2 linked regions of the Pelodiscus sinensis genome follow. The protein of the gene in region 2 purifies or fractionates together with the protein of the main gene of each other region. This does not show direct contact. Links are inferred from orthologs where the notes say so. Each region holds a gene or a part of one and is shown on either strand. Other genes may lie near its edges. The genes, in order: SETD1A and BOD1L1.

The links.
Region 1: the proteins of BOD1L1 (region 2) and SETD1A purify together in Homo sapiens (affinity purification with mass spectrometry; 3 studies listed by BioGRID and IntAct, with this or other methods). This does not show direct contact. The link is inferred for Pelodiscus sinensis from reciprocal best matches to the Homo sapiens genes BOD1L1 and SETD1A.

The regions. Positions count from the first base shown.
Region 1 is NC_134714.1:134,014,152-134,021,699, forward strand, and holds the start of SETD1A (histone-lysine N-methyltransferase SETD1A), read right to left. Parts: upstream 3,219-7,548; 5' UTR 3,198-3,218; intron 2,979-3,197; exon of another isoform or gene 2,830-2,978; intron 1,755-2,829; exon of another isoform or gene 1,733-1,754; intron 1,408-1,732; exon of another isoform or gene 1,256-1,407; intron 287-1,255; 5' UTR 156-286; intron 1-155. UniProt on the Homo sapiens protein: Histone methyltransferase that catalyzes methyl group transfer from S-adenosyl-L-methionine to the epsilon-amino group of 'Lys-4' of histone H3 (H3K4) via a non-processive mechanism.
Region 2 is NC_134715.1:108,497,058-108,504,662, reverse strand, and holds the start of BOD1L1 (biorientation of chromosomes in cell division protein 1-like 1), read right to left. Parts: upstream 3,268-7,605; 5' UTR 2,773-3,267; coding exon 2,572-2,772; intron 1,964-2,571; coding exon 1,839-1,963; intron 187-1,838; coding exon 1-186. UniProt on the Homo sapiens protein: Component of the fork protection machinery required to protect stalled/damaged replication forks from uncontrolled DNA2-dependent resection.

The sequences.
Region 1 (7,548 bases), on a different chromosome or scaffold from region 2:
CCTCCAGCAGGGGCTATACCACCCAGCCACATTGATTCCCTCAAGCAGGAAGCACAAAAATTCCCCCCCCCCACCTCACAGGACCCCACCAACGTGCCTCAACCTATCCCAGAAAATCAAAATCAGATCAGTAAGAGACAGGTATGAAATCGTACCTGTGATGGATGATGTGTTTTGCACTCTTGACAGCGATAAAAGACGACGTGTATCTGTAAATGCAGTATGCTTCTTTTTGACGCAACAGAGCAGATGCTTAGTCCATAACGCAGAGTGGGACCTCAAAGAACTGGGAAGCAAGCAAAGAAAATAGGGGTTAAGTGTCACAGGAATAAAGGGTTAAAGGGGAGGGGGTTATGGTGTGTATTACACAGAATGCATCCAGAACATACAAAGGGTGGTACCCTACCCTGTAAGAGGACAAACATGTTGGGTCCTATCCCCAGGTCTGGAAGGGGAGTGGGGTATAGTGGATTAGAGCAGGAAGGGATGGGAGACAGGGATCCCTAGCTCCTGTATGATATTAGAGTTTCCAACCAACTTGTCTACCAGCAAAAATAAATTAAAAAATTAAGGACTCAAAAGACAAAGTAAACTCAAATTACTAATTATTTCACAATCTGGCACCGGAGACCTATTCTAAGCCTCCTAAGACAAATATTGAGATGGGAAGGTTCAGAAATAAGACAAGGTAGCAGAGAGCAAAGGAGCTGTTCAGAGGTGCGCAGATACTAGGGTGATGGGCTGCAGCACGAAACCCTAGAACAAGCCTCCAAGAGAAAGCTCGGGTGCTGCTCTGAATTTTGGAAAGCAGCCATTCCCTGACAGAAGGGAGTTATGATCTAAGACTGGAAGCTGGAATGCAGAGCAATATGGGCCCTGGTACAGCCAAAGGATGTTTATAATAGCTCCTCCCCACACTTCTGAACCCCTCCCCTCAGAACCCCCCAAAGACCTCCTCGAGCTGCCTTCCCCACCCACCTGGGGGGCCCTTTGATGAGACAGTTCACTCTCCTATGGCCCCTTTAACCCAAAAATCTAACCTAGCCAGCTCCATTATCATCCCCACTTCAGATGCAAGGAAATGGAGGCCTAGAACAGCAAAAAGGCAAAGCTATGTAGCTGATCAGTGGCAGAGTCGGAAAAAGAACCCACAAGTCCTGGCTCCCAAGCCCCAGGTTTAACGGACCACACCCCATTCACCTCCCAGAACCAGGGCAGATCTCAGGAGCTGTGACTCCAAGCCCCCCACACCTACCACCTCACTAGGGCCTGCAGCTCTCCCTACAGGACACCACATCCCATGTCTTTGGTGACGCTGTCCCACCCTGAGCACCGAAAAGCTTCCTTCTGCTGGTGCAAGCCCTTCCCCAACTCAGCACCCCAGGCCCCTTGATGCCCTCCATCCAAATCTTATGCCCCCCATCCCAATTCTCCCATCTTAGTGTCCCCCACACACCTCTCTGGTCCTCTCCCAACAACCCCCATTGTGGGCTTCAGCACCCCACCCCCTGCCAATACTCTCCTCAGCTCCCTCAGATCTTCACCACTCAGGACCCCTCTCTGGACCCTCACCCACTTCACCTCCTACACATTCCCCATCGCAGACTCCCAACTCCCCATCCCCTCAGGTCCCTATACCCCACTTCAAGGCCTCAGCTCCTCCCCACACTTCTGAAACCCTCCCCTCAGAACCTCCCCCCGGGGGCCTTTCCCCCAACTCCCCTGCTCCCACCTCAGAGCCTGCGCTCTCTAGAAGATATCCAGTCCTCTCAGAGACCTCAGCCCCACACCCGTAGAGCCCCTCTTCTGAGCCCCCCCATAACCAGAGCCCCCCGAGACCTCAGCCCCCCAGAGCTCACTCCCAGAGCCCCTATGCTGAGCCCCCACATAACCAGAGCCCCCTCAGAGACCTCAGCCCCCCCACCCACAGAGCCCCCTCCATGCCCAGAACCCCACCAAGACCTCAGTCTCCCCACTCCCAGAGCCCCCCGTGACCTCAGCCCCCCACCTGCAGAGCCCCTCTTCTGAACCTCCCCTACCCCCAGGGCCCCCCCCCAGACCTCAGCCCCCCACCTCCGTACTCCCAGGGCCCCCCCGAGACCTCAGCCCACCACCCTTAGAGCCCCCCCAGAGACCTCAGCCCCCCACCTCCCTACCCCCAGGGACCTCAGCCCCCCACCCCCCCGCCCCCAGGGCCCCCCCCAGAGATCTGAGCCCCCCACCCCCCTACTCCCAGGGCCCCCCCAGAGACCTCAGCCCCCTACTCCCAGGGCCCCCCCCCAGAGACCTCAGCCCCCTACCCCCAGGGCCCCCCCAGAGATCTGAGCCCCCCCCTACCCCCAGGCCCCCCCCAGAGACCTCAGCCCCCCACCCCCCTACTCCCAGGGCCCCCCCAGAGACCTCAGCCCCCTACCCCCAGGGCCCCCCCAGAGATCTGAGCCCCCCACCCCCCCTACTCCCAGGGCCCCCCCAGAGACCTCAGCCCCCCACCCCCTACCCCCAGGGCCCCCCCAGAGACCTCAGCCCCCCACCCCCCACCCCCAGGGCCCCCCCAGAGACCTCAGCCCCCCACCCCCCACCCCCAGGGCCCCCCCAGAGACCTCAGCCCCCCACCCCCCTACTCCCAGGCCCCCCCCAGGGACCTCAGCCCCCCACCCCCTACCCCCAGGGCCCCCCCCAGAGATCTGAGCCCCCCACCCCCCAGGGCCCCCCCAGCATCCTCCCCCGCCCCCCTCGTAACCGTCCCCGCGCGCGCCGCTGCCCCTCACCCGCGGCCCCGCCCCCTCCGCCTCGCGCCCCCTTCCCCGCGCGCGCCGCCGCCGCTCTCACCTCCCTGCTCCCGGCCCCTCCCCCCCCCGCGCGCGCGGCCTCTTCGCTCGGCGACCAGGGGGGGCCCGCTACTGCCGCCGCCGCAGACAGGGAGAGGGGGCGGGGCCAACGGCCGACGTCCCGCCGGCTCGCGCGAGACTTCCCGCCGGCTGGCCCGCTCCACCCCCGCCTTCGCCGGCTCTGTGCGTTCGCGACCGCAGTTTCGACGCGGGAGATAATACCGATTTCCCTCCGCGGCAGGCGGGACCGCGCCGCCGCCGCCCTCCTCCCCCCCGCGCCCTCCCCCCGCGGCGCAGCCATTTCTTCTCTCTCGTCCCTCCAAGCGCGGGGGTCGTGTGACGAATCCGCCGAGCCCAAACCCCAGCTACCTGCGCCGCAGGGAGAGCCAGCCGCGCACTTTCGCCACAAACTGGCCTCGGGGGAAACCTGCTTCCCTCGCCCCTCGCCGCGGCGCGCAGAGCCACTGGGGGGAGCGTGACTCATCCTCACGCGCCCGGCTATTTTTGAAGGGCCCACTTGGAGATGGCGGGAGCGAATCTGCTCTTCTGAACTCGCAGCTAGTTCCTAGGGGCAAGGCACAACCTCGGCACTTTCGCCATGCGACGGCATGCATTTAAATACATTTAAATAATTAACAGCAATACTGCGTGACGCTGAAAGGAAGACAGCGATGGATCGTAACGAGGGGGGGGGATTAGATGTCCGAGGAACGAATCGGATTTGGCGAAATGGCAGCTAAGGGAGGGAGTGTTATTCGCCTGCAGCACTTTCGCCACGGGCATGCATTGCATTCCAGTCCCTCTCAATACTTCAGTACAGCGCTATAGAAAAGCCAACAGGAGACAGGTGACTCCTGAGCTGCCCTCACCGGCTCATACGACTTTTATGGAGCGGAGAATGAGAGAGGCAGGAATGGAATCTACTTTGGTGAATGTGTAGCTTGCTGCTAGAAAGGGAATAAACTTTTATTCGAGTCCGGCACTTTCGCCAGGGGTGGGGCTACATTTCAATATATTTTAATAATGTATTTCACAACTGTAGCAAAGCCAAGAAGAATCGTGAGACCAACTCTATAGTCTGTTGTTTTATAGTGCGGAAATAGATGGCTGAGAGATTATATCTACTTTGCTGAAATTTTATCTAGGACTTAAGGGTTAAATGTAATAGTGTATATGTGCACCCATCACTTTCGTTATGAGTGGGTAAATAAAATAGCCAGTAAGCTGACTAATGACCCTGTCCTCAAAAAAAACTAGCCTATTATCTGTGTAGATGGAAAGGTTCAAGTATTGAATCTGCTCTTGCGAAATCCCAGGTAATACCATAGCTATTGGAGAACGAGAAAAGGGTGTCAATTATTCATACCTTGCACTTTCACCATGAACTAGAAGAAAGTCAATTATATAATAACGACCTACAATGCAACGGAAGAATCAGTGGGAGACAAATGAACCCATGACTGTATATATTACTTAAAGGAAGTAATTCCCATTTACTGCATTGAATCTGCTTTGTCGAAAACTAGTTTCAGTGTCTAAGGGGAATCCTAGGAGATTGGTTTACCTACCGCACTTTTGCCATAAGGTGTAATAAATGACAATACATTAAAATAACTTCCTCCCTTTAGAGAGTCACGAGTAGGAGAGAAATCAGCCCTTTCATTAACATAATGTAATTAGTTTATTTTAAGTGTTATGGCGAATATGCTAGAGCCAAGTAGATATGGGGGATAAAGAAAAAACTGCTGTCTTATCCCCAGCAAGCACTTTCGTCAGAGGTTAGAAAAAAATCATTATCTAAGTTAAATAACATCAGAGAGCAGAAAATCAATCATTACTTCACCAATTTTTAAGGCCACGTGCAAATTGTGTGGAATCTACGAAATAATCACCTGACTTTTTTCATAAGGAAGGCAATAAAAAGCGAGTGACTCATCTTCTGCACTTTCATTGTGGAAATGTCAATAAATGGAAATATATCTAGGGAAGTAATAAACCATCCAGATGTGGTGGGATATATCCAAAATCTCATGAAAAGCCAAATTAAATGCTAATTCATCAAGCCTGTTTTTTTTTCATTTACTTGACAGAAGAGAGGGATGTGTATGTCGAATCTGCTACTGCCATTCCATAGGCCCAATTACAACCTCCTGAAGGCTGTGTCTACACTGGGCCACTTATTCCGGAAAATCAGCCGCTTTTCCGGAATAAGCTGCGAGCTGTCTACACTGGCCCTTGAATTTCCGGAAAAGCAACGACGCTCTACTGTACAAAATCAGCCGCTATTCCAGAAAAACTATTCTGCTCCCGCTCGGGTATAAGTCCTTATTCCGGAACACTGTTCCGGAAAAGGGCCAGTGTAGACAGCCCAGTAGTCTTTTCCGGAAAAAAGCCCCGATCGCGAAAATGACGCTCGGGGTTCTTTTCTGGAAAAGCGCGTCTACATTGGCCACAGACGCTTTTCCAGAAAAAGGGCTTTTCCGGAAAAGCAGCCTGCCAATGTAGACGCTCCTTTTCCGGAAATGCTTAAAACAGAATAGTATTCCGTTTTAAGCATTTCCGGAAATTCATGCCAGTGTAGACACAGCCCTTGGGTATATATAGTGCCATCTGGGACCAATTTGCATCCTGTGACCTATTTTTTGATAGCTTTCACAAGTGTTGAATCTATTGATTTCACTTCACAGACAGAAGGGCTGTGTCTAGACTGGCATGATTTTGTGGAAATACTTTTAACAGAAAAGTTTTTCCGTTAAAAGTATTACCGCAAAAGCGTGTCTAGATTGGCACGGATGCTTTGGCCAGTCTAGACGTGATTTTGCGCAAGAAAGCCCCGATCACCATTTTAGCCATCGGGGCTTTTTTGCGCAAAACGGTTCTTCCCTGTTTACACTGGCCCTCTCGAGCAAGTATTCTTGCGCAAGAGGGCTTTTTCCCGAGTGGGAGCGTGAAAGTATTTGGGCAAGAAGCACTGATTTTGTACATTACAAAGTCAGTGTTCTTGCACAAATTCAAGCGGCCAGTGTAGACAGCTGGCAAGTTTTTGCGCAAAATCTTGCCAGTCTAGATGCCCCCAAGGAGTCAACACAGAGTTGAGTGCAAGCAGATACAAGGTGCCCCCAAGTCTTTCTTGACGCCCACTAGCCCTGAAAACCAGCAAGCCACAGTTTGGGTCCTGCCCATTGTTGGGGTCACTGGGCATGATCCTAGGTAACTCGGGGGAGTGGAAGATCACAAGGATCGATGAAGCCCCCCCGCTCTAGGCCCAAGCACCCCTCTTCCCCCACCTTCCGCCCCTTCCCGCCCCAGGCATAACTTTTCTTTGGCTCGCTAATAGCTGGGAACAGCAAGACAGACAGACCTTGAGGTTGCCTAGTTACTATCAGTGGTACAGAAGAAGAATTCAGATGTGTCTCTGTAGAGGGGAGGAGAAGCAACATGTCCCAGCGTGGGAACCTTGCTACAATTCACTATTTTCCTGCAAGTAAACAACCTGGGAGTATAAGGAGGGGAAACTGCTTCCGTTGGTGTGCTTGATCTGAGATGTCTAGTCTCCTGGCACCTATTTGAGCGTTCAAATAAACTTTTTTTGCTTCTCCACACCGGTGTGTTTATTGGAGCACGCACACCGGGCACTGAACCCAGCTGTTGCCCCCCTCGGGCACTGTGTGCTGGCAACACCATCTTTATTGAGAGGATGGGGTATTACACCCATTGTACCCAAGATCTACCACCAACAAGCACATTAACATTGCATGGGGGACATTAACACTGCGGGGGAGGCACTGGTTCTGTGGGGACAATATGCAGATCACATCTGCAGATGTCTCCTCTCTCCAGCAGATTCAAGTAGATGCTTGCAGTGGGAGATGGATGAGTCTCATTGTCACATAAAAGCGTGTGGAGCATAGATGAAGAATTAACAAGAGCAACCTTCCTAACCCCTCACCCCCAGCCACTGACCCACGTGTACCTATAAAGGCCACTTCATGGTCTTAGTCCCTTACTAACCTCCCTATTTAACTCTTCTCCCCAGTAGTCGGCAGGTGTTAAAGTTCATTATGTGAAATATCCAACATGGTTTCAACTGAAGGCTGGGACAGGCCTGATTCACATCTCAGGGGACTCCTAAGAGGCAGGCAAAGGATGGTTTATTCCAAGGCTAAAATGACATGAATTACAAAATACACTAGGGGCTTGTGTACGCAAAGTAAAGAAGAAAAAACGTGGCACAAACACATTGGGGTGTTGTTCATATGGTTAAGACAGGGCACAGAATTAGGATAGTTGGTTTCTATGCCCAGCTTAGCCACAGCCTCCCTCTGGGACTTTGGGCCAATCGCTGAATCTCTCTGGGCCTCGGTTTCCTCTTCTGAAGCAGGAAGAATGATCCTGTCTTTGTCTGCGTAGGACACGAGCGGTCTGGGAGAGGGATCGTCTCTGCCGTACACCAGGGATCCCGCTCTCCGTCCAGGCCGGCAGGAAACAAGGAGCGACCATAAAGAAGAGATGAAGTAGGAGTCACTGAGCAACGCTGATTCTATTTTGCTTGGTGTAGGTCACCTCTTTGCTCACCTGGTGTAATTAACTCAATTCCCCACCAGAGGGCAGCGGTTACCCCGCTATTTCAGACCTAACTTCAAACTCTGCCTACAAACTTCTCTGCCTTTTGGGGTTACCTCTGTCCCTGAGCCAGCTAGTTCCCAGCCAGAGGGCAGGC
Region 2 (7,605 bases):
ACTGTGATAGAAGCATCTCCTTTTTCCTCACTAGGGGCTGCACTCGGGCTTGTTTCCTCTTTGTGATTTAATGTGGCTAAAAACTCATGAACAGCTTTTTCCACCTGAGGTCTGAAAGTGTGGTTGATCTTTGGATCCACAACCTGAGAAATAATTCTGTCAATTCCAGACTCCAACATTCCAGACCTGAAAAAAAAAAAAACCCCCACACACTAATACTTACATATAAGGAAATGTATTTCCACAAACAGATCTGGTTTATCTAAAAAGTGTTTTCCCTCCACACAGACAACTTTCCATAAACTTTCTAAGTTCCTAGAAAGTAATTGTTTGCATTTGCTTCAGGAACACTCCTACCTGACTTGTGTCTAGGTCCATGGTGTCCAACCAGTTCTGAAGCAGTTGCCACTGTAATGGCTACTGCTATAGTGAACTAGCCACACTCAAACGGCCAAATAGCCACATGTGGCTAGTAGCTAGATTGTTGGATACCGTGGATCTAGATAGTGCTCAAAATGTCCCATTAACACACATCTGAATAAACATTTCATGCCTGACAAAAAGCCTGCAGCAAATGGATTTGTTTTTATTCTCTTTCAGCATAAACTTGCAGATCCCCTTTGTAGTTATCTTTATGAATCAGTTTGAGGAAAGCATTCTATGCAGAACAGGTAGCAAGAAATGTGACAGCACTATATCTATTGTCTTCATAACCCCAATGTTAGAATTTCTCAGAATGGCATCATGTTGCAACTACTAAACAGTGGAGTTCAGATTCTTAATTTACTTTATGTAATAGCTTCAGCATTGAACCAGTTAGCTACCTAATAGCCTACCTTTTGTCCATCACGCTCTAGAAAACAGAATGAGTTGCCTATGGCTACATTTCACTTGAGACCATTTCTCCATTTATGGTGTTATCAAGTCTTAACTACAAAATAATTGTATTTCCTCTATACTCAAGTGTTGATACCTATCACTAACCATGCAACAGGTGGCATTTGCTCCCAAGTTTCAGATCTGTCCCTAAAATTGACAGGATGGCAACCTTTATCTATACAAATTAGTTTGGAGTAACATTAGGCGGCTTCTCATATTAGGGTAATGTGCAACACTAGGCAGAGGATATTAATGTAAATGTGTTTATGGCACAAATTAGATTCACCATAAATGCTTATTCAAAGATATTTCAAGATGACCATTTACCAGCAGTCTTTACAAAACTTTTTAGCTGTCCATAGAAATCAAGTCTGTTCAAGGATTTCTGTTTTGTGAATATGACTCTGAATAACTAACTTGTGCTTGCAACATACATGAATTTTCATATCTACAATCCTATTAATAACACAAGATTTAACCCAGAAAACCGAACAACAACTAGTAATTTGTTGAATAAACCACTTATGAGTTAGTGGTAGTGCCAGAATCCTTGTATGCAAAGACTGCAGACCCAATATTCCAACAAAGCGAGACTCCTTCAAAGTTGTGATGCAAAACAGGAAACATTCAACACTGTATTACAACATATCACAAGAGTGACGAGCATTTATATCCGGATACAATGGTAACAAAGGTAACATTCTCTCTTCATAGAAGTTGTGGAATTTCTTTGTCTAGCTAAGCTTTCGTGGGCAAAGACCCACTTCATCAGGTGCATCTGACAAGGTGGGTCTTTGCCCTCAGAAACTTATGCTCCAATATATCAGTTAGTCTATAAGGTGCCACAGGACTTCTTGTTATTTACGCAGATTCAGACTAACACTAGGTTTCCATTCACCTATCACTAGAGCACGAGTATCTATTTAAACGGCAGAATATTAACTCAACTTATGACTTACTTGAGAACCTGCTGCCTAATATTATTTCTCAACTGATTCTTGTTGAGATGAGGACTCCAAGTATGAGTTGCCAGATGATTGGAAACAAAGTTGTCAACGCGTTGTCTCAGGTTTTGATAAGCAGGCTAAAGGGGCAAAAGGTGAGATCAGATATTTAAAAAAGCTGCTTAAAACTCATTTTCCTAATGAGAGGGCTGAAAAACTTTAAAAAGCTCCCTAGATCTTAACTGCCGAATCAATAAAAATATCAGGATTGCCATCCTCTGATAGGCAATGCCCATATACCAAAACCTATTTACCGAAAAGAATTCTATTACCCTCTTGGGAAAAAGTTTATACAGTATAACCTACATAAACGGGAGCGACCAGTCCCTTTTACACAGACGGCCCGATCTTGCTGAAGTCACTCACTGATCCCTGAGAGCTCATTCCTTAGGCAGGAACCTGCTGCTAAGGACCCTGCCAGCGGTCTAGTGCGAGGGGCAACGCGCTGAGCTGCTGCTGCGACGTATCCCCGGGGAACGACATTCCCAGGACGCTAGAGCCAGCCAGGAGTCTCTGCAAGGCTGCGAGGACCCGCCGGCTCCGTGTCCAGGGCAGCCCTGCCTCCACCCCGGGCAACGCTCACCAGGCAGGAGCGGCTGCGCGTCTCGGCAGACAGCCCTCCTCCCCTCCCCCGAGCTCCGGGCCCCCGTGGCGCTCGCCCCCTCCTCAGACCTGCCCCCGCCCATACCTTGGTGTCCACGTCGGCCAGGCAGTCGCGGCGGAACTGGTCGAACAGCCCCTGGCTCTTCAGGTGATTAACGATCACGGACACCAGCTCGGGCTCCACCGCGCCGCCCCCGCCGGCAGCCCCAGGCAGCGGCGGCTGCTGCTGTGGGGGCGGCGGAGGGGGCGGCGGCGGAGGGGGCTGGGGCTGCGGGTTACTGGCCATGGGGGCAGCGGGGTCTTCAGAGAGCGCGGGCGGCAACCGGCTCCTCTAGCCGGGCCCCGGGCAGGGGGCTGGTTACTGAGCAGCAACCGCGGCAACGCTGACCCCGGAAGTGAAAGGGAACGGAGGGAGGAAGCGAGAGACAACGAGCGGAGAGGGGCAGGGCTGATTCGCACAGAGGAATGGGCGTTGCTACTGGCTGTTCACCCCGCTCCCGGGGCGGGAACATCTGAGCCGAGCCCTCCGGCTCCGGCTCCGGCCCCTCCTTCCCAGCTCCCCGGGCGCAGCCCCATTGCTGCGCGCGGCGGCAGCGCCTCTACCAGCCGGCTGAGCTTGAGAACGAGAAAGGGGCGGGGCTGTGCGCCGGTTCTGAGCATGCGCCTGTGACGTGCGCGTGCTCAGTAAGAGCTGCTGAAGCCGCTGCCCTGGCTTGGCAATTGCTGCTCGCGCAGGAGCCCTGGGGAGCGAGGGGGGCAGGATCTGGGCAGTGCCCGACGGGATGGTGCAGGCTGGCCGGGCGCCTGGAGGCAGCCGAGGCAGGGCTGAGGGGCACAGTCAGGCGGGGGTTGGGCGCTGGGGATGAGGCTGAGGGGCTGCCCCCTTCTCCCCTGCAGGACAGTCCGTCTTGGCTCCCGCCTCCCAGGCCCTGTGCTGCGCCAGGCGGCTCGTCGTCCACTCTAGGCACACGAATGTCATTGTGCCCTTCAGATCATACTTTAGGTGCAGTTAATCAGTTTAAAAATATTCATAGCTGCTAGTAGGCTTCAGCCATCCCGTCTCAGTGTTTCTGGGGTAGCACTGTCCGTATCGTGCCAGTAGTTTTTGTCAAACACCATTTTATTCTTTGGGACCTTTATTCTTATCAACACCTGCTGATTTCCTGGGTTGATGTCACATTGCAGTTTCTTTTAATAAATCAATGAAGATCGTGTTGGTCAATTGTTTTGCTTTCTTATCCAGCACCCTGTTTTTATCCCATTACTATTTGTGTGTCAAATTTGGTTCCCAAAAAATCACTGCATGCCAGATTTTTAAAGGCTAAAAGTGTCATGATGCTTCTGAAAATCCTACTAGTCGGCTAAATACTTTTAAAAATCTGGCGCAGTGGGACTATCCTAAAAAATAAATTTCTATTGTATTGTTTCTAAATATAGATATAATAGAGGTATTCAAAAATCATGAGATATGCATCCCAAAGTCATAACGTTAAAATAAATAAATACATTTTAGAGTCTTAAATTTTCTTTTTTGTCGAGCCTTTCAGATGTACTAGCTTCATACTTTTTCTGTTAGCTCTTTCAAAGCATCCATATATGTAAAACAATAGTACATTTCTTTAATATTGAGTGCTTTTTTGAACTTCCAGTAAGTAAGATGTGACTTTTATCCCTTCCCTTTGTAAATGAAAACATTAAACATTTATTTCTGTAAGTAATTTGCCATCCTGCAAACATCGAAGTGCATACTTTACTGTTTATTACTTAATTTGTTGCATACATAAATTTTGATATTTCTACTAACTTGTTTATGCATATTTTAATTTCATAGTATTTTGTATATGTTTAATATTTCAGTATAATACATGTTAGTGTTGTTCTTCATTTTGACAAGTTTACTGCTTTTTTTAAACGAATTACGGTATCCTGTTTCTCCTTTGCATTGATTGCACGGGAGGGAGGGCATGGTGCTGACCTCACATAGTTTGTCTTCTGGTGAAACTAAAGTGTCTTGTCTCTACCATGTTTTTACAGTAGAATAGCTAATGCATGGTAATTACCCCAGGGTAAAAACTCATGTTTCCTTAGTATTGAGGACGGAGATGATACTAATCACTGAGATATTAAATGAATCATTATTATTCATTGCTTCACAGCTCTGGTGCTGATTGTGTGGCTCATACTACTCCTTTGCCAAAAGAAAGATTTGTGTCTCAGACTACGGGTACAACAGACAGTTTACAGCATTGGGAACTGTAGCAATGAACTGCCCCCCTGTAAACTCTTTAATGTAATTGCTGTAGGGCGGATGGAAGGAGAAAGCTCTTCCATTAGCTTAACTATTCCAGCCTTAAGGGTATGTCTACACTAGGGTTTTTTTTTTTTTGCAGAAGAAGCAATGCAAATGAAGCGCTCATTAGCATTTTCTTGCACTTCATTTGCATAATCTCTTCCAATGCTTTTTGCGCAAGAGGTTTTTGCGCAAAAATTAGCTGTGTAGACGGATCCGTTTTGTACAAAACCCCCTTTTGCGCAAGATATCCTTTTCTGAGGCATAAGGATCTTGTGCAAAAGGTTTTGTGCAAAATGGATCCATATACACATCTAGTTTTTCCACAAAAATGTCTTGCGCAAAAAGCATCGGAAGAGATTATGCAAATGAAGTGTGAGAAAATACAGTCCCCCACCCCAAAAGGGTGGGCAGCATGCCCCTAGCCACTGGAGCCCAGCAGCACACCCAAAGTGGATGCTGTGGGGCTTAGTGCAGGTGTGGCCACACCTGGCTGTTTAGGGAGGCATAGCCACCCCTTCCTGCCATCCATTCTTAGGCACCTAACTCGGGATTTGAGAATCACAGTGGTATTCCTGTGACTTAGGGTATGTCTTCACTACAGCATTATTTGGAAATATCTTATTTCGAAATAGTTAATTCGAAATAAGTTATTTCAAAATAACGCGTCTACTCACAAAATGCATTTCACAATAGTGTCTTGCTATTTTGAAATAGCACATCCACACTGAGTGCACACTGAATCGCATTTAAAGCCGACCGGAACGAGGTCCAGCAGGACATCAGGTCAGGAGTTACTTTGTGTGGCTGCTTCCTGAGGCTATCCGAGACCTGTGCTTAAAGCCCTCCCCCCCACCCCCGGTCTGGGGAGCTGGTTCTCAGCTTTCCCTGCTTGCTTGCCAGCCTCAATGAGGGACAGCAAAGCATTTTGTCTCTGCGTGCTCTGGTTGCCCTCACTTGGGACACTACAGCACTCGGCGCCATGGAGCCAGAGCTCCCCCTGGGCACTCTGGTGCTTCTCTTGGATGCATTGCTGTGAGCCTGGCTGCACTTTCTGCAGGCTGTCATCCAGGAGGTCCATCGGGGGGCTGTCAGCATTCAGGAGGCCATGTGAGAGAGCTTCCACCCTGAGGAGCCACTAAGAGCCTCCCTGGTCTGCCCCACTGGTGGCTTGTGCCTCATTCCTCCCTCACATCCTTCCACTTAACCCTCCCTAACCCCCCTTCCTGATGTCAAATAAAATACATGTATTTTCATGAACACAAACTCTCTTTATTTAAAAAACTGGGGGTGGGAGGTGGGGGAATGAAACTCTGGTGAGACTGGGGAAAGGAGGCACGAGAGGGGAGGAGGAATCTGGAAGGGGGAAGCAAGGGGAAGAAGGGGGAGGGGTAGCTCAGGACTCAGGGTTGGGGGTCTCACCGGACCAACTTGATTTTCATGCAAACCTGCTCCTGGGTTTGCATGTGGCGTTTGGTGGCCAGGCTGGCAGCTATCTTGCCATAGACGGCCGCGTTCCTCCATCTAGTGCGGAGATCATGGACGTTGGGAGCATCCCCCCAAACCTGAATAAGGTCCATGATCTCCACCCTGGATCAGGAATGCGCCCGCCTTCTCCGTGCCCTGGCAGGCTCCTGGGAACTGGCAGACTGCTCCTGAGGAGCGGTGGAGGGCTGGTTGCCAGTGGCTTGCGGGCTCATGTTTTGGGACTACTGCGTCAGGAGCAGTGACTGCTGGTTCTGGGCTGGCAGGCTTGGAGCTGGCACAGGCACTGTGGCCAGAGTCAACCCTTTTAAGGGCTCCAGGGGAGGAGTGTTCTTGGTTGAGGCTAGAGTGGCCACCAAGGCACCTTGGGAAGGCCAGAGGCCCCATATTTCGATATAAGTTTCTACACAGCACTTATTTCGAAATAGCTATTTAGAATTTGGTGTTATTCCTCGTGGAATGAGGTTTACCAAATTCTAAATAAGTGCTCCACTATTTCAAATTAATTTTGAAATAGCAGTTTGGCTGTGTACACGCTAGTAAAATTATTTTAAAATAACGGCGTCCCCTTACTTGATGCCTAAAAGCTAGGGATTGTGACACTGATCGTTGGAATGTTTCACTCCTTTTTTAAATCTAGTCCTTAGGCCTTTCCCACAGTGCTACAAAAGGTGAGTTTTTGTTTTGCTTTTATAACATGGGGTAATTACGGTGCACGAGCTATTCTGAACTAAATGCGCAGGGAAGACAAAGCCCTTCTGTTTTAGCAGTGACGAAAAGGCTTTAAAATGTTTCTGGAATAAGATCAGAAGTATATTCACTCAGCCACAGCAGAGAAGTACAAATTATTTTTTGAGAACTTGGTGTGTAAAAGTGACAGTGGAAGGAAAGTCTGGATAAGAAACAAAGGTCACTGTCCTACCTAACAGCTTTTGTTTAAAGTGTCTTCATCAATATTTCAGATACTGCTTACAATGCTGTATGCCATTTTGTGGTTTTTGTATACATTAAATCTTTGTTTACTATAGAAACTGTATGGTCTGCTCTGAAATGGAAAGAGACATAAAGAAATAACAATACAGTAACTGAATTCAGGGTTTTACATACAATATTCCTGTGGCTTAATTGTATAGAATTGTGATTGAATGTATCCTTATATTCACACCTTACACACCATTGTAATAATACTAGTATAAACATGCCTTATGATGTAGCATTTGAAAACTAAAAACTTGCTGGAAAATATTATCATGGTGAAATATGCATAGCAACATTGCACGTAAAGTTATGAACATAAGCCCAATTAGATCTGAAATGTATTTACCAGACAAGCTTGGGTAAATC